Linked DNA regions of Schizosaccharomyces pombe. Changing the gene in region 2 together with the main gene of any one other region gives a genetic interaction. Each region holds a gene or a part of one and is shown on either strand. Other genes may lie near its edges.

What was found.
Region 1: of sre1 (region 2) and rbd2, a mutation in one rescues a mutant of the other (synthetic rescue), as found in Schizosaccharomyces pombe (2 studies listed by BioGRID, with this or other methods).
Region 3: of sre1 (region 2) and hhp2, extra expression of one rescues a mutant of the other (dosage rescue), as found in Schizosaccharomyces pombe (one study listed by BioGRID).
Region 4: mutations in sre1 (region 2) and SPOM_SPAC977.05C together harm fitness more than expected from each alone (negative genetic interaction), as found in Schizosaccharomyces pombe (2 studies listed by BioGRID).

Annotation. Positions count from the first base shown.
Region 1 is NC_003421.2:2,244,161-2,248,493, reverse strand, and holds rbd2 (Golgi rhomboid protease Rbd2), read right to left. Parts: upstream 2,647-4,333; 5' UTR 2,535-2,646; coding exon 2,369-2,534; intron 2,323-2,368; coding exon 2,046-2,322; intron 1,892-2,045; coding exon 1,579-1,891; 3' UTR 1,251-1,578; downstream 1-1,250. Other genes in the region: Ran GTPase-binding protein Mog1, read left to right, coding at 330-902; pep3 (ubiquitin-protein ligase E3), read right to left, coding at 3,140-4,333.
Region 2 is NC_003423.3:1,689,073-1,695,335, reverse strand, and holds sre1 (transcription factor Sre1), read right to left. Parts: upstream 3,943-6,263; 5' UTR 3,509-3,942; coding exon 806-3,508; 3' UTR 645-805; downstream 1-644. Other genes in the region: SPOM_SPBC19C2.10 (BAR adaptor protein ), read right to left, coding at 1-115; U4/U5/U6 small nuclear ribonucleoprotein complex subunit PRP38, read right to left, coding at 4,358-4,848, 5,047-5,188; fructose-bisphosphate aldolase Fba1, read right to left, coding at 5,893-6,263.
Region 3 is NC_003424.3:1,047,371-1,052,386, reverse strand, and holds hhp2 (serine/threonine protein kinase (CK1 family) Hhp2), read right to left. Parts: upstream 3,390-5,016; 5' UTR 3,353-3,389; coding exon 3,189-3,352; intron 3,023-3,188; coding exon 2,299-3,022; intron 2,213-2,298; coding exon 1,898-2,212; 3' UTR 1,251-1,897; downstream 1-1,250. Other genes in the region: SNARE protein Bet1, read right to left, coding at 213-416, 466-604, 648-658; atp18 (F0-ATPase subunit J), read right to left, coding at 4,796-4,857, 4,902-4,952, 5,002-5,016. UniProt on the Schizosaccharomyces pombe protein: Involved in DNA repair. May regulate the activity of protein(s) involved in double strand break repair caused by gamma rays.
Region 4 is NC_003424.3:34,829-38,265, forward strand, and holds SPOM_SPAC977.05C (Vel1p domain-containing protein), read right to left. Parts: upstream 1,555-3,437; coding exon 940-1,554; downstream 1-939.

The DNA.
Region 1 (4,333 bases), on a different chromosome or scaffold from region 2:
ACGATATTAGAAACTATATATGTGTACAAAATTTTATTTTTAACATATCATTTTCATTAAAAATCATCAATTTGAATTTCTTTTTATTTTAATTTTAAATCAGTTTAGTAGTTACCGTGCAGTGCGTAAATATTGAAAATTGAATCTAGGCTCATTTAAAGCGTTTTACTAGCGATAAATATAATAATGAAACATAAAATAACACGCACTAACTTGTTACCGCAGTCGAATGAAATGGAGTGAAAATAGGAAAGAATCCTTTTGTGGTTCGAATACCAATCTGGTTCTTGAGACAAACAAATCTATTAGGTTTTTATATTTTTATAGTAATGGTACAGCTATTCGGTGGGGCTCTTTGTGCTGATTTCCCTCCTAAATTTCTCGATGCTAGCGTTTTGCGTCAGATTCCTGACAACCAAGAGGTGTTTTTGCAAGATTCCAAGGAAAACCTAACAGTGATCATTGAGCTTTTGGAAAAAATTGAGAAGCCATTTGATGGAAGTGTGGCAGCTTACCATTTCAATAGCATTGCATTCGATAATGATGCATCTCAAAGAGTAATTTGGAGAGACAAAAGTCTTGGTGAAGACGACTTTGAGGGCATGAGAAGCGAAAAGGCTAGTGGATCTTCTGTACAAGGTTGTCAGAGGGTCCTTGAAAAAGGAAAGCGAAATCCTGAATCCGCTACCAATGTGGCAATCTTCGTGAATGTGATAACTTTGATTGACTTTCAAACAGATATCGTAATCTCCGTAAATGCTCCTTTACCTAACACTTCCTCAGTTCCCTCTTCTGTTGAAAACATTCCCCCTTCTGATCAAAGCATCGTTCGCGCTGCTCTCGAAACAATACAGCGAGTTACTCGATCTCTTGTACTTGTCGATAAAACAGTATTTGCTTAAAGGATGATGGACATAGGCAAGCAAATTAACTAGCCCACAACACTTAATTAAGATTTTCATCTAGGGAAATACTTTTCAAGTTTTATTTTTCTTTATCCGAAAGGAATTGTTTCTCTTATTTATAAAAACCGGTTATTCCAACTTGTATGAAGGGTTTTAATAAAAACATCTGATACTTGATAACCGATTAGCAATGGTTTTCACTTTTTCTGCTATTATTTTAATTTTCCCATTCTTCCATTGTTAATAGTATAAGTTTCACTGTGTCTTTACAGTTTAATGTTTTATGATTTGAGAGTACAACGTAAAACGCTAGTTTCCAAAGAATAACGGAAATTACAATTTCAAGGTGTTTTGATTGTACAGCTTTTGTCCTTTACACTGCCGCTGTAGGACAGTGGTGATTAAAACAAGTTAATCATAAAGAATTATTAAACATTAAAATACTTTCTAATTGTCCCTAACTCCGTGCAAGTAAAGAACAAATATAGCGAATGAAACAATCTTTATGATTGAAACCTGTAAACGACTGACTAGAAAATACTGAATAAGAATTACCAAAAGATAGAAGATCTCTTCATTGAGAGGAGCTTTTCCACCCTTTGCAATAAAGAAAACAAACATTTAGGATATCATCATACGAAGAAGAACAGAAAAGAAGTAAAAGACAGAAAGTTCATCCCCCAAGACGGGTTCCTTTTCCGGGGAAAGAAGAAAAGGTCGACAGAGGTTCCGCAATGGGGAGTTGAGCATGCGACAGTTGATCAAAAGAGTGATAGTTTTTTACCCAAGACTGGAAGATTGGGTCCACATTTTGAGCCCAGCTTTTTAAGGGGATAGAACCAAGCATGAAAGGAGTACAATACCCCATAACAGCTCCGGATGCATGCCCGATAAAGCTAGCTTTTGGAACCAATATGGTAGTCATAATTAGGTAAATAATAGGAAAACAATATGCAGGAATGCTGAAAAGATTAAAAAAGCTGATTCTAAAAAATAAGTTAATAAACCGCCATCATTTAAAAGACAAGAGAGGTTCGACGTTTGCAAAAAATCATACAAACCAGGTTGTTTCTTAACATTGTGAGGAAAGAAGACGTGTGGAAGTATGCATCTGCAACCATAATTATAAGAAATGCTTACAATCGTTGTGGAGAGTGAACACAGGAAGCAGAGATAAAAGCAAAAGCCCATCCACTAAGTCCAGCAATAGAAACGTAATCTTTTCTCAAGAAAAAATGGTAGACAATTAAATGCATAATACCCGGGAAAAGAGTGTAAGGAATGACCGTCACCAAAATGCACGCCAAAGTGCCTTGCTTCTTTTCAAATTGAGACATTGCTGGCAACAGGGATACAAAGTTAAATACAATATGCAACATTGAAAGATGAAGAGTTACATAAGTTATAATTTCATACACTACTCTCTCCGTTATTAATTAAAGTACCAAGGAATTTTAACTTACGCTGCCTTTTTTGCAACAATCCTATCCAGCTAAGAGACAGAACCCCCGTGGATATTCCAAAGAAGGAAAGTGCATACACCAGAATGGCGATATAAGTTATTATTTGCGTCCATATCGGTAATTTCAGAATGAACTCCTTTGATCGTCCTAGAATCATGAAAATCATCGAGAAGCTACTAATTTAATATCCGTACAATTTTGATTTAATAAATTTTTCAAAATTAGTTCAAAGGGGACTGAAATACGATCTGGATACGCTAATGCGGCATATGGTTCACGAAGGAAGATCCGGTCACCTGAAGCGAATATGAGAGCTCGCCTTACGTTTGCAGACAAACCAAAGGAAAGCCAAGGGTTTTATTCAAAAATATTGGTTTTATTTTAAAATCGCACGCTTACCGTGTGGAGTGTGAGCTATTTCTACTCATTAGCACAAAAAACAATATAACCGGTTTAAGAATATATATGAGAAAAGAATTATGACTTTTAGTCGTGATTCGAAAACGAATAGCACTTTAAAAACAATTAAAAATTCTAGATATAAGAAGTTGTAGCTTCCAATTTCAATGCTAATATTATATTAGAAATATCAAATTTTTCAGGGGTGGTAACGACTAGGGAGATCGATGTCAAAGACAATATGAGTGAAAAAACTAGTCATTAGTATAAATTTCATTGAGTCTAAAACTGTTTAAGTCAAGGTCGTTAAGGCTGTTCGGTGCAAGCAATAAACGACTCGAAAACACATAATAATGGTAATTTAAATGGCACTCAAAAATCCGTCGAAAAAGGTTCATTAATAAGTCTTACAGCATAAGAAGGACCACACAACTGACATTCTTTCAAAATGTTTTTTTCTGATGCCAGTTTGTAAGTTTTTTCTAGCATACAACTGCGATGAAAAGCATGCTGACAAGGAAATAAAACAAATGGTTCGGAAAAAAGAGGTTGGTTGCAGTGCCAGCATGATTCATTGGGCTCCAAAACAATGTACCTATTACGCATATTTTCAGCGTTAGTTTGTATTTCATGCGCAACTTCTGATGCTTGTCCGATTTCGAAGTCCAGCTGTTCAATTCTTTTCATGCAATGATCCAGTTCATCACACACATTATCACTTAAATCGTCCAGTTTTATATCTTCTGGCAATAGGCGAATAAGCTCGGGAAGTTGTAAAACCTCGGAATTCTCTAAAAATCTCAAGGTTTCTTTAATTCCACTTTTTTTGGAAAACATATATTTTGCAATAGTCTGCCACAAAGTTTTTTTCAACACAACATCTTCCTCTGGAATATTTGCTATCGTAGCAGCTAATTCACAATCATCTGCTTCTAAGGCTAATTCCACTCCTTGGCTATACAGCTTCATAAGCACCAGAATTTTTACTGCACTTCTCCGACAGTTAAATTGCAAGCATAATCGAATTCCTAAATCCATATCGTACAAAGGATGATTTCCTTGCTGTTCAATATAATTCATTAAGTAAGACTCATTAGAACTCGAATGACAAGCGTAAATGCAGAACAATGTATTATGAATAGATGGATCTACGCACCCCAAAACACCAGTAACGTATCTAAGGTATCTTATGGCCGCATTTTCCTCTACCGGTACGTGAGAACGCTGATTATAACTCAAGAGGGATGGTATCAATGCATGTACGTCCAAATCTGTTTGACGTTCCCAAATGCTGACAGTTTCATTCGGTCGATGAGTTAAAAGGGCAGTCGCATGCTGAATGAGGGTTTCTTGACTGACGCCTTCATTTAATGTCTCCAACGCTTTTTCATAGTTCTCTCTTTGTACCCAATAGTGCATTATGTAAGACTGGTCTTTCATAACGGTAGCAATTTGAAGTAACTGTTCTTCCTTACCATAGTTATTAGCAAGATTATAAGCTGCTTCACGATTTATCTCATCTTTGTATTGATTAAGAAGAGTTGAAAACTCCCGTTGAACCTGTTG
Region 2 (6,263 bases):
AGGCATCCGTTTCACCTTTCAAGGAACAAAAATCATCAGATAATGTAGTCTTCTGACGATCAAAACCAAATTTTTCACCGGTCCATTGTGAAAGCTTTGCAAAATGTTTGTTCATCTTCAAAGGAGAGCTAAGTTCTTGAATCGACAAATAATAAAAGCGAGTCTATTTATTTTTATTTTAGGTTGTAGGATTCAGAATAAGTTAACCAATATAGTAGTAAATAATACATAAAAACAATTTGGTAGTTTGTTTACCTTTGGTGAATGGTTCGTATTACTCCCGAGATTTCAGTAAGGACGGAACTACGTACTGTACCGTAAAACTTCAGACCACTCTTATCTATCTTATGCATTTCCATTTTATTAATAATTGACATTCTTTTTTTTATACAATTGGTATAAAATGGATATCAGCAGTCTAAGATTCAACACATCTTCATCAACAGCAGAGAGTTAACTGCAAGAGAAGAATCCAATTTTTTAATCTTGCCAATGTGTCATTATTTAAAAAAATAGTTAGTTCGATGAACCTTAGCATGCCTCAAATTGTACTCTATTCATTTTATTTAATCACCAAATATACTCAAATGGTGAATTGTGCTAGCTTGATACAACAAAATAACTCTAATTGCATATTTTTATCACTGCTCTTACCGACGACAACTGTAATTTATTAAAAGAATAATTAAAACTAAAAAATGATACGCAAAATAACTGATGAAATAACAATCATGGAAAATAATAAGGTAGTTGCAATAGATGAGCGTTGTATACTAACTGTTCTCAAAGCTCGAGAATCGACAATTTAAGCTGATGAAACATAACCCAAATCTTCTTGTAAGCGAGATCCAATATCTATGCAAGAGTTGATTAACTTACGAGATAATTTCAAATCTTGAATTTTCAAAGTTCCGATGGCCGTCCGCACGTACATGGCCATCTTTTCAACGACATCGTTTTCCTTTGGAGATGTGCAAATAGGAGCAAAAGTGTTCAAAGCGGTCCAGGAAATAATAAAAGATAAAGGTGTAATGTCTGCATCACTATCAGGTACAAAGATTTCCTGATACATACGTTTAGAAACATCCCCGTATCCAAGGCGTTGGAGTGCTAATGATAGGCATGAGTGGAGTGTGAATAGCTTGGATAAGTTGATCTTTAACACGCTTGACTGCTTGCGTTTATCTTGGCTGCATAAATCCAAAGTGTTCTTGTATGCTGCAAGGACTTCATTCAAAGAATCAGCTGTATTCTCGGGGAACAAAACCAATTTAGCTAGTAAAGCATGACGAATAATAGAGGAGTTCTTAGGACAAAGGGAAATAATTTCCTCAATCTCGGATATCTCAACTTTACGGCTCAAACTTTCCATCAAAAGGGCATCCAACAAATCAGCGGCATACCATGAGGCAAGCACCTCTAGAGGAGATAAAACCAAAACATCAGATAAGGAGCTAATAATACTATCTGACATTTGAGCAGAGTCACGGGTGCACTTTGCTAGAACCCACAATCGCTCAACCATATTCGGAGAGAAAACGTCGTCAGCGTGGGAGTTTTCAATTAGGTTAGCAGTACACTCAGGAAGCTCACGTAACTCCGCGTGTACAGAACTTTTGCTATGTTGTTTCTTTGCAGCATTCCAGAAGAAAGCAACGCACTTCGAAACGATAGCGGATGGGACAGAGGTGTTGGAAAAAATTAGTTGGCAATACATTGCTTGTAAAGCACAAGTATGACTTGAAGGAGGAAGAGAAAATGAACTGGCAAATACCATTAAGAGCCTCAAACGGTCAACTTTAGCATCACCACCCATTAATTGGGCATCCAAAAGCTTTTCCATGTTGCGAACTTCAGCAAGTTGTTGCTCACTATAAACCCAATTCTCAGAGGAGGTATAAAGAGCACTCAAACGATGAGTCAAATAGCCATAAGCAGATTTAAGAGTGAAGATCAGTAATCCAAAAAATAGAGAAATAGTCGAAGTAGAATGGTCCAATAAACAATACTTTTCGAATACGGTTTTTCGGAATAAGATTGAGGATGGTGACATGGAAGATCTGGTACTAACTTTAGATTTCTTTTCACCCTTGAAGCCTTTGAAAAGAGAGTTATCGTGCAAAAGATAGAATAAACCGAGTAAAACAACACCAATTTTCAGCATGTTAAAGAGAACAGTACCTGTGAATGGAGACATAAGAAAAGGTGGAAGAGCGAATAAACCATAAACAGATTGAGAAGAATCGTTTCCAAAATAATTGAATAGACCAAGTCCAACCATGCCATTTAGTGCTGTGCGGCCCATGGTATTTAGGGTTGGGGAAGTAAAAGCTCTTTGGGTTAGGTTTGGTCGAGAAGATTGGTGAACAGAATAGTCAGATGAGGAAACAACATTAACAGAGTTAACGGCTCGAGTATCGTTAGAAGGAGGAGCCATCGAAGGATCTTCGTAGAAAGCCAGCCTATCTGAAAGCTGCTTGTTAGTCTTCTGTAGTTCCTTATTCTTGGCCTCCAAATGTCTGATATACTCAGTTGCTTTTGCCAATATTGTACCCTTGTTAAGCTTACGAGCGGGTGTCAAACCCCCCAAATCCTCATCGTCCAGAGAATTACCACAACGAAGTGCAGCAGCAGCACGAAGTGAAGGAACTGCATCACGCAATTCACAAATTCGGTCGTTCAAGTTGGTTCTGTATCTCTTCTCAATCATGTTATGAGCTGTCTTCTTTGGTTTTCCTCCAGGACCGGCTACAAAATCTGGGGTTTCAGAAGGAGATAATGAGCCTCTAGACTTGGGGGCCGAAAAAGGTAATGTTTCAGGAATTGAGCAAGAATCTTCCGAGGAAGGAGACAACTTTATTTTCTTGGCAGAAGGTTCAGGCTTGCAAGTGGTGTCCATGGGTGTAATAATTTCTTCGGTTTTCAATTTGACTTCTGGATTTGACATATCAGCTGAAGGATAATTTTGAACAGTCGATGGATCGATTGTATCAACAGAGTGAAGGATTTTCATTTGGCGCTGAATTTTATCATCGGCATCGAACTCATTCAATGATGGGCCGGTAAAGGTCTCATTCTGAAATGAATTTGGAGAGCCGCAATTAGAGAGAAGAGGATTTGTAGAGTTTTCTAACGAGTTAGGGGAGCCCATGTTGGTCGAAGTAAACAGAGGAGGCGCCGAGTTCATCGTATTGTCGAACGCAAAAGGGTTAAGCCAATTGCTCATTGATGACTCCATATCAGAAAGGGAAAACGAATGGGGAGACAACGAGGTGTTGGTCAAGGTTGGAGGTGAGTCCTCGACAATGCTAGCCAAATCACACAACAGATTGGAACAATTCTCCACAAAGGGAGTAGAAGTTGAAGCCTTTGTCGATGAAGCCAAAGGGGATGAAGAAGGAATCGCACCCACTGAATTGGGTGATTTGCTGTCAGGCGAAGCTTTTGTTGGAGTTTCCATTGCAGGAGAAGCGACCGACACGGAAACTGACGGAATTGAGCTTTGCATATTTAACAAAATTTCCAGCTAGAACCAAGCGGAATTTAACAGCGAGTTAAAAAATCCAACAATAAAGAGAAATTGAATTTAACTCTTAGGGTTTTTTATCTCTGTGACTGTATAGGATGTTGAGCGAATTTTCTAATCGAGCTACAAATTATCCAAAATTTGACGCATTAAAAGCTATCCAAGGCGATAGATAGCAAAATAATTTCTTGAATGAGTTGTAAAATAAAATAATGTTCTTAGCAAGAAGGAAATCCAGCTTGATAATCGTTTAAGATTAGGTTATAGCAAGAGTCGAGCGCAGTAAACAAACTCTCAGCAACAACCCAATTGTTGTCAATGAACTTATAAAGGCTACTGGACGTCCTATAAGTAAAAAAATTTAAAATCGATCACCCGATAAGCAAAGTTAGGATTGCTCGAGTATGGTAATGGATGAAAGAGAAAAGTCGTGTTAATTCATATGTGAGCAAAAAAGAAGTGGACTGACATGTTTTTAACGAAACGTAAGAAAATAGACGGAATGGGGTGATTCGTTAAAGTATGGTGTGAAAAAAATTCCGTGGCGTATCAAAGACATTTTATAAATATTTAGTGTGCTGTAAACTAAGTCTATCGAAATTTGTTTACAAGAAAAAATAGCGTATTTGCGATAATATGTGAAATCGATATATATTAATATACAAATCTATTTGATTAGATGTTTGTTATTCATAAATTGTTTTTTAATAAGTTCAAGTGTAAAACCATTTCAATCCATAACTTTTCCTTGTAGAGTCATTCCAAGTTAAATCGTAGACGCATCACAAAATGCGTGCTTCGCTTTACTCTTTTTTTGTATATTACTTATCCTTAAATATTCCGATCTACAGCACCTTCATTGCTCTCCAATTTACTAATTTGTTCTTCATCATCATCTTCTTCGTCTGAAGAAGATGAAAGTGGTTCAAGCAAGTCCAAATCTTCAAGTTGGAGTCGACTTCGCAATGGGGGCAGGGAAATATCGCAAACTACTTCGGCATTTAGCAAATCATCAACAACCTCATCCAGATATGTTAATCGGATCTCAGAATTAGTACGAATTCTTAATTTCCGATAATCTCTTAACAGCGGTTCCAACGTTTGATGCACTTCCACATCATCCCATGTAAGCCGAACGTAAAATGCAGCCAGGGCACGTAAATACTTGAATTCAGGAATAGATAGGTACTGTTGAATTATTTCTTTTTCAGGTGCAATTTGTAAAAGCTTGTATAACAAACAGATAAACTCGGTGGGCCGTTGATTTCCATACTGACCACCTATATATTCAAGCCGTACTGCACGATCCACCAATGAACAAGCTAAGATGTATTAGTCAGTGAATTTGGAATAACAGTTTGAGGACTGATTAAAACAGCAAGTACCTATACTTGGTTTCTTTGCTTGCCAAATCAAGTTCATTTAGGCTATATCACTCAAAATATCGATTTGGAAAGTAATCGTACTTGAACTCTAATATGTAAAAACACTTTCCTTTTCTGTCAATGAAGAACACATACCATTCAATCCAAAACATTGTTCTTTCCAGTAAATAGAATCTACTATGCGTTCTCTCAAGATTTTTCCTATAAGGAAAGTCGGCAGCATTTCATGCGCCGCCTCACCTTGAGAGCGATAATCTCTAGCAAGAAAATCAGCCATAGTACCTCATGAAGAGAATGATTGCTCCAACCTTGATGTCTTGACTTGGAGTAAGCTTTTAAGGAGCAGTAGTGTACTGACAATATAAGTGGTCAAGTCTGAAGAAGCATGCTGAGTTTTGATTGAGAAAGGGTTATCTAAAAAAAACATGGATTCGTGAAATATGGAGGAAAAGGGAAAATGCCCGTACTCATTGCAATGAAAGAAGAAAAAGTTGATCTACTAAACAATGCACACTGTGTACACAAAGCACATGAAATTCAAGCGATTATGTTGTTTTAAGCTACTCATCGAGATTTGCCAAACGATATATATTAAATTCAAATAAACGCACGGACATATTATTTATTCATTCATTGTCATGTGGAATCGGAAATTTTTTTTTTGTAAATTTATATACCTAAGAACACATTAACCAATTAAGGAAGATGAATAAAAGGATAAAAAGAAAAATCTTAACAATATACAGTATGCTTGAAAAACACTTTACAAATCCAATCCAAAAAAATTTCTTAACTTACTTTGCCCTACTTTACTTCAAATATCTCTTATGCTTTTACAATGGTAATTTTAAAAAACAATGTCTCTATATTCAAACACGTAATTTCAAAACAGTATGAACTCTCATTAAGGGGACAAAAAAATATAATTTTAATGAAGCCCACCGTCTATTCAATCATTTCCATCTTTCAAAAACCACAAATTTAGAGAGTGTTGACAGTGTAGAAGTCCTCAAGAGCGGTAAGAACACGCTTGGTCATGGTCTTCTCACCCTCATGGATCCAGACACGAGGGTCGAACTTCTTCTTGTTGGGCTTGTCAGCTCCCTCGGGGTTACCGACGGGGGTCATAAGGTAGTCCTTGTACTTCAAGACATAGTCACGGACACCCTCGACGTAGGCGAATTGGGTATCAGTGTCAATGTTGACCTTGACGACACCGCACTTGATACCAGTACGGAACTCGTTGACAGAGGAACCGGAACCACCGTGGAAGACGAAGAAAACGGGCTTGTCGTTGGTGGTCTTGAGTTGCTCCTTAACATAGGCTTGGTGTTGACCCAAAAGAGCGGGTT
Region 3 (5,016 bases), on a different chromosome or scaffold from region 2:
CCTATCGTGACAAACCACTTGTGTGGAAACACCAAAGGTGGATGAATGTTTTTTTTCTATCGATAATAAGTTTAAAATAATCAGAATGAAAATGTTAGAAGAAAAGAGAATGAAGAAACTTCAAGTATACAATTTTAACAGATTATACACGCCATAAAATGAATCATAAAAATGCTAACTCTAAAAAAGAGTAAAGGTAGTAAGCAAAATGCCTAAAATCTTACCAAAACGAGGATAAGCGCAACGAGGCAAAAGAAGGCGAGCCACATCCAAATTGAAATTCCTCCATTCTTCGAAACATTCTTTAATCGAGTCATTGTCCCGCTCAAAAGTGACTTGGTCGAGTCAAATGAGTCGTTCATTGACTCCATCAACTTAGTAGAAGACGTTATCTCAGTCCCAATATTCATAGTAAGCTATTAAAATTAGTTAGCATGTTTTTCCTGATGATGGCAAAAATCTTACCTCTTTCAAAGACTTGACTTTTCCAGTTAACTTTGAAATCCGTTCATCATTTTCATTTTCCAAGGAGTCTAAATGCTGAGGAGATTGAGACTCATACAAGGGCAACATATCGCCATTGCGTTCTTTTCTTCTACCGAATCTAATGATTAGTTAGACATTGATTGATCAGATTTAGTACATACCTTGATCCCATTCTGAAGCTTTTTTTAAAATCTTTCCCTTTACCGAATATGAAAAGTATTTGGTGTAGCGCAACTTCCAAATCCTAAGATCTCTTTGTTATGTATTGGTTTTGTGCGCAAAGTCAGCTCATCAAATAACATGCGACGCAACTCAGGAGTTGCGTGTAGAGGTAACACATTGTTGTACTAAGTGACAAATCTCATTTTGCTCTGTTTTTACATTAATCTAAACAATTTTTTTTTTACCGCAGACGAAACAGAGATGATAGTTATGGGTTTAGTAAAAATAAGTATAGATCCCTTCTTGAGCCTGTAGAATATTGAATTTGAGCATCAATTTTGAATGATTTTTCTTTGTGGTGCTGATCCATAATGTGTTACTGGGGCAACTGTAATGTAAACAAATCAACGTGCTTTGTTTACATTTGTAGAAGTGAAATACCGGTGGTTAAAATACCACAGAAAGCAATAGATATGATAATATGGCAAATCGATGGATATTTTTCTTTGCTACAGCCGAAATTAAATAGTATGTAAAACTTGATGATCCAGCGGTCAACTCCAACAGAGCTAATATTTTTTACGCTACTTGCCCATAATACAGTGTGAAAAATAGCGATCTATTTAATCGATGAAATTTATCATTTATTAATGAATTATTTCTTATGCAATTGATATTATATCTTTTATTGCAAAGGTAGGCAATAAAGACTGGTTTAGAGCCACGCAAATGATAGTGTAAAAAAAGAAACATGCTCCTTGTGTATATTACTTCTAGCAATGGAGGTACAAACTTTTCAGTTTTGAATAAAAACGGAATGTAAGAACCAATGGGGAACGAAAACAATAAAATAAAATTCTGGGAAGAAGAAATTTAGAAATGAATAGCACGACTGACTCAATTCTTTGGCAAGAACTTGACCGGAACGAGCTGAATATAAACAAACAGCACGATTTAAATTTTGTCCTCTAATTATGTCTTTTCAGTAAAGCATGTATGAGGTTTACACAATATGTCTATTTAAAAAGAAGGCATTAAAACTCAACTTCTAGGCAAAATGGAATAGCTCAAAACAATAGCTAAACCTCAAAGTGTATTAGTGTAGCAATCCGGCCATCCATAGACAAAAAAGAAAGCCAGGAATTATTAAAGATATTTGTGGAACTTTAAAACGTCAACAGATGGTTTGGAATTTAAGACTAAAAGACGTAGTGTAAGAGAGGAATTGATGAAAAGTAAAGTCAAAAAATCAAGGAGCTGGTTCTTCATCTAAAACACGCCTCAGTTGAGCACTGTATTGAGGTTGCAACGAAGATGGAATGTATTCATAATCTTTGTTGGGAACAGGAGAACGAAAGGAGAGAGGAAGAGGTGAGGGAGAAGCACATTGAACAATATTAGTGGAGAAAGATTGTGGAGTCTTTGGATTCCGCTCAGCAGGTAAGGGAATGGATGAATAATTAGGAGTAATGGGATTAACCGGTTGAGTTTGTGACACCATAGGAGATGTAACCTGTGGAGGTGCTGTAGCAGAAGCGGCGGCAGCAGCAGCAGCTCGCTTTTGCTAATAATAGTTAGTCAATCGAATTTTCAATCATTTGTTAAGGTTAAACTAACGTATCACCTTATCATTTTCTTTTCAAAACTTACGTATTTTAATATCATCCAGTCAAAAACATAGTCATACTGGTATCCTTTACGAATAAGTAAATCACGAAACAGCTTTCTCAAATAAGCATAGTTTGGCTTCTCGGTAAACGAAAGCTGACGAGTGTAACACATGTAAGTGATAAACTCTTCGGGAAGACCTTTGCAAAGGACTTCCAAAGGAGTGCCAATCTTGGTATCACGTATCCGTTGATACTTTTGCTCCTTTGTATCAGCTTGTAAGCCTTGCCAGGGCAAACTGCCGCGACAAAAATAAAGTAAAACATAACCTAACGATTCGAGGTCATCACGGCGAGATTGTTCAATACCAATATGGGTGTTAATACTAGCATATCGAGCCGTTCCCGTAAGATTCTTATTATCTCGATATGGAATATGAACATGAGTTTTAAAATCCCTGTATTTTTTCGCCAATCCGAAGTCAATCATCGTAACAACATTGCTGTGCTTCTTCATTAAAAAATTATCAGGCTTAATGTCTCGATGTAAGAATGACTTGGAGTGAACATATTCAATGCGACTGATGAGTTGATCAGCAAGTAAAAGAACCGTTTTAAGAGTAAACTTTCTTCCACAATAGCAGAATAAATCTTCCAGAGAAGGGCCTAATAAATCCATGACCATAGCATTATAACTATTGGTTACACCGAACCAGCGAATTGTGGGTATGCCAATATTTCCTTTAAGAATATTATACACACGAAACCTAAATGTTAGAAAGAAAAAAGAAAAATAACCAAATGGAGTAACTTTTGCTTTTCCTTTTTGGTTGTAAAACATCGAGCTACGGTTGATAGATATAAAGAAGAAATTGGAGTTCCGAAAGAAATCCAACTTATACTTAAGTAAAAAAATATTAAAGCACTACTTACTCATATTCTAACTGATGATGACGAGCCTTTAAAGGCTCCAATTTCACAGCAACTTGTTCTCCATTTACCGTATTTAATCCCAGGTAAATTTGACCAAAGGAGCCAGAACCAATTTTTCTACCTATACGATATTTATTACCAATCTTAATGTCAACAACCGTCATTTTGCTAAGATTCTAATTCACAGAGATGACTGTGGTTGTTAGAATCGCATCATCACAGAAATCAAAGAGGAAGGCAAATAGAGCGCTGCAACGAGCTATATTTGGAGTAGAAGGATGTTTTGAATACATGATATATACAATGTAATGTGACTAATTTTTTATTTTACTAAGCAATACTTCAATGTCTTTGTTTACTTCCCTCGTCAACTAATTTTTTAAGATGCTCGTTTCTAAAAGAGTGGAATATTTTATTTAATGTTTGTACCATGATTGCCTTAAGGCTGTGGATGTTGATTGTTTCTTTACATGAGACTTAATAAATTTAGTAAGCAAAGCGAATTCAAATTTGTTGGTTCATATTTTTGCAGTGACTTCTACTGAACGCGGATTTTTTTTTTTCTTTTCCGTTAGAATAATATTTGTTTATTCCGAAGTAAGCCGTTTGTGATGTGGCTGAAATGTCACGGAATCATTTGCTCCAACAGATATTTTACCCTTCAATTGTTTGTGCATTACATTGTAGCATGAAGTACCTGAGTGGGAGCTTGTTCTGACTTTCTTCCGAAAAGTACAAAATATGAATGACATGTGGTTTTCTAGTGGAAAGAAAAGAGGTTTGGATTAAATTTATTGATACAAAAAGCAATAATGTTTTGTTTACATTATGAAGAATGTGGAATTCTAGCATATTTTTTCATATCCTCAAAGAGAATCACTTCAAAGTGATTTGTTTTGTAAACAAAGCAAACAAATCCAAAATGATTTTCTATGAACGTTCAGGATTTTACTTACAGAATCATATTGAACTGCTATTCTCTTTCAATAGTTTTTCCGATGATTCTTTTTTGGAGTGAATGCAAAAAACGATCGCCTACATGGCGAAGTAGTATTGAAAACGAAAAATGCTAATACTGCTTTATTTTTAGTAAAAGCCTCAGTTCTAGAGAATACAATACCAGCTTCAATATAGAAGTGTATACTAAACCTTCTGTAATACGTTATTTTACAGCTTTTGAAATCCGTGCCCAAAGATCTGCTTAATTGGAAACACAAAATAGGAACAATATGTTTGAGGTACTTTTTCTGAGGATTATCAAATTATCTAGGTAAATTAAAAGATTACAAAATGAGCGAATTAAATGACGACTAAGTACATAACTTTTCAGTCAAAGTGAATATTTATTTCGTGCAACACATGTATTCCTAAAAAGCATGGAAATTCATTTTTTCCTTCTGTTTATTTGAAAAGTTCATATTTAAATATACATTTAATACTTTAATTTAAATGATTGATCTCCTACAAATAAATTCGATTGATTACAGAACTTTTGATCAATTGTAACTGCTACAAAAACAAGCAGTGTAATTTCATTGACTTCCATTAAATCACATCAAAAGGGCTGAAACATTTTAGGAAGTGAAAGACATGAACTCGTCATCAACTTAATGATCACTTCCGTACTTTCCAGCCTTTGGGTTTCTAGGATCATTGCGATACTCCGCAGCTACATAGAGTTAAAAAATTGTTCTATTTCTATTAAAAACGTACAATCCATCATAGCATCACGAAGCTTTACAGTACCATAGAATACGATGGCTCCTGTCAAGACATGTTAATAATAATTCAAATCGTTGAAAAATATACATACCCCCTAGAAAAAAAG
Region 4 (3,437 bases), on a different chromosome or scaffold from region 2:
ATCAAAGTGAGGATTTTCACACACATTTTCAGAGTACTTGGAACGTGCCGAGCTGATTAAAAAACACCGGTATTAACAAAAAATTTTATTTATGAAGCAATACGCTATTTCGTTATGAGAAACTTGATTCAATGAAACTATTATAAACCTTAAAAGCGACTTGAGCTCAGTAGCTTATAACATTTTATTCAGCATTATGTTTTATGTTTTCTATTTATAGAATCATTAGTCTTTAGTTAGCCTTACAGCTTCATCTTGCACAATAATTTTGGCTGATCAACTCTTATTCTAGGGACAGTTTGAAAAATCATACCTTGTCTCGTATTTTAGACTTTTAGGATCTGTGGCTCTAATTTGTGACAAAGAACATAATTACATGTTGGACCGTACTTAACGCACCTCAGTCCTTCTTTGATCTCTTGGCTCTGTGAAGATAAACAAAACGTACAAATCCGTTAATGGTTATAACGACGATGAGAATACTCAATACTCGGTAAAATCAAATGTGTTGCTGTTCATTTTAGCGTACTGCCTAGCGCGGATTTGTTTGATAGACTCATTCCAAGATTGTCGATCTACTACGAATGATTTGCAACCGCTTGGAAGCCGAGTAACTGTTTGTCGCTAACTTAAAAGATTTCCTGTTATGCTTTTTTCACTAGTAAAATGAAGTATGCTATAACTTTTCCTTACCATTAAAACACAATAAAAAGCGAAAAACACATAAACAAAATCAAAATACTTATGAATTCCGTTATTTGTTAGAAAATATGTTTAGTATAAGTTTAAAATAAAAAAAAAAAATAAAAAAAACAATTTACAATATTTTATCTAGTATAAAGACTTTTATTGCTTAAGCGTTTCTAATTAAATGTTTTTAGAGGATAAATTTAACCCCTATTTTTAAATCCCACGATTTAAATAACGATTATATATATATCAGTTGAATCCCTCATCCAAAGGACAAACTGGTATAAGTTCAATGGGCTGACACCAACTTGGCATGCCTTCCTCGTTATTAAAAACATTGATTGTAGGACTATCTAACAATAACGCAGAGAATCCGGGAGTACATGTTGCTACTTGAACATTATATAGAGTAGAATTCATCAGTTGGTTGCTAAGACCCGTTATCCGACTTGAATTTTGTGCTGTATACGCCCATGCATCAAAAGAAATTTCACTGGTAACAGTATTCACAAAAGGGATCATTGCATTTTCAATACTTTGAGGATTGCATGTTTTCAAATACGTTGTAAATGTCAAGGGAGTAAAGTTGGCCGTGTCGTTTTCAGCTATCGTAAACAAACGTGGAATAAGTCGAGGTTCTTGTTCCAACATACGCTGAAAAAATTCACCTTTACTTTCAGTCAAAGCATCAAGACCTATAAATGATTTTTCACCAACGTATGTAGCATTCGTTCCTACTACTTTCAGTAGATACGTACCACAATGCGGACCGCGTAGTCTACTACACTCAAGATCAGTGAGGTTGAAGCGTATGGCGGTAGCGAGCCCAATGAAAAAGAGAGATATTAAGTTTTTGAAAATCATATGGAAATATCTTTTGAATGTTTGTAAAGAAATGTTTGATTTTAGTCGGTTTATATAGTTTTTTTTTTCTTTTTTCAGCAACAAAAATAGATTAACTCGTACATATATAAAATGAGATATTTTCGCGTAGATCATGATCGTCGCAATTTCAAACGTTGCAAATCACCTTTTTCTTTTTGAAATGTCACCAAAAGTGGTAACAACTGCAAATCGTTGAGGTAACGTGGTTTTCCCACTAGTCAATAACGAATACCAATTTTTATGTGATTGCGAATTTATCGGCGAGTTGTGACACATTTGTCTCAGAAAACACACGCTTTTTTGGTCTTTTCTCTACTGCTCAAATTTGTTGCTCTTTTTGTTGTGTAGATCTTCCCTCTGATTTTCAAACAAAATTTGCGGTTTCCCACCCATTGTTATCAACGTCTATTATTCTTGGAAAATCTTCCATTACATTATTGAATTTGAATAACGAGGCCAAAACAAACAAATGAAAATCTGCTAATTCACGAAATGGTACTGGTTCCATTAGATAAGGAAAAATTCGAAAAAAAATTATGTTTCTTCAGTCGTAGTATGCCTACTGGATTATCATTAGCAATATGAGTAGCTTTTATCCCGTTTATTATATTATAAACGATTCGGATTCCTATCGATTTATTCTAAAATAAAATACCCGTCAGTTATTTACTTGGATTTTAACTTAGAAGCCAAAAAACGAATCTTCAACCAGACTGAACTGGAAAACATTAATTAAAGAGATTCTCGGTTGTAGATAGTTGTAATTGTTTCTGTTTCTGTTCTGAAAACTTGTTAATATAGTAATCCCCCACTCTTTTTCCATATTTAGTCTTTGAAGAAAGCGAAGCAATTCTTATACTACTCGTCTTTAACGAGTTGCATATATACCGCCCTATTTTTTTGCAGTTTCCTTTAAAAAATCTCATTAGAATGTTTCAATGCATACTTAATAAATCAATTTTATCAAATGCTTTGTTGTGAATATATTCTTAAAACTCATTCATTTCTTGTAAAGAAATCTTTCTTTATATGAAATTTGAAATATTCGAAATTTCATCTTTATAACTAGGTATTTCTCAATACTTTTACATAAATTAAGAAGGGAAAAAATTTGGGTTTCCTTTTTAAATCAGTTAGAGGCGAAACCTCTAACGCTTTTCATGGCTTCGTGTTAAATGTGTAATTATTTTTAAGAAGAAATACAAACACAATTAACAGATGTTGCATAACATTACTTTAGATTTGAATTTCACCTCTTAGATATCATCCATTCACATGTCAAGTAGGTGCAGTTTGTGGTTAACATATATTATTACATCTGTATTTAACAAAGTCTAGAGCAAAGAAGATATTTTCAAAATGCTGGAAGGAGAAATTTAGAATGTATGACTTACCTTGTGAAACCCTAGTATATTACGTTTTCGTAGTAAAACTAGTAGCAGGTGAAATTTTAGAGTAGTTTGTTGACGAATGTTTGTTTCAATTTTATCGCTTAAAAATTAAATTTGTTTTAGATTCATCTATTTCCATTATAATTTTTCTTTTTTGTAACATTATTCAAGTAAGGTTATGTGTATCAAAACAATAACTTCTGACTAACTACTCGAATAACAACCAAGTATTCCACTATGATTTTTAATGATGAGCCAATATTCAAGATTGATATAATTTCCAAGAGATGTTTACAAATTCCAGTTTATAATTCCCTTACGCTTTTCTTCCTCTGTATCTCTTGAAAGCCCGTTCTACTGCATTTGCTAAAAATGCAATAAATGTATGAAAGTTAAACTCAATAATCAAAGTCTTTATGTAGTATTACAGTTATGAATTATTGCGACATTTCATCTTCAGCCTTACTCAAA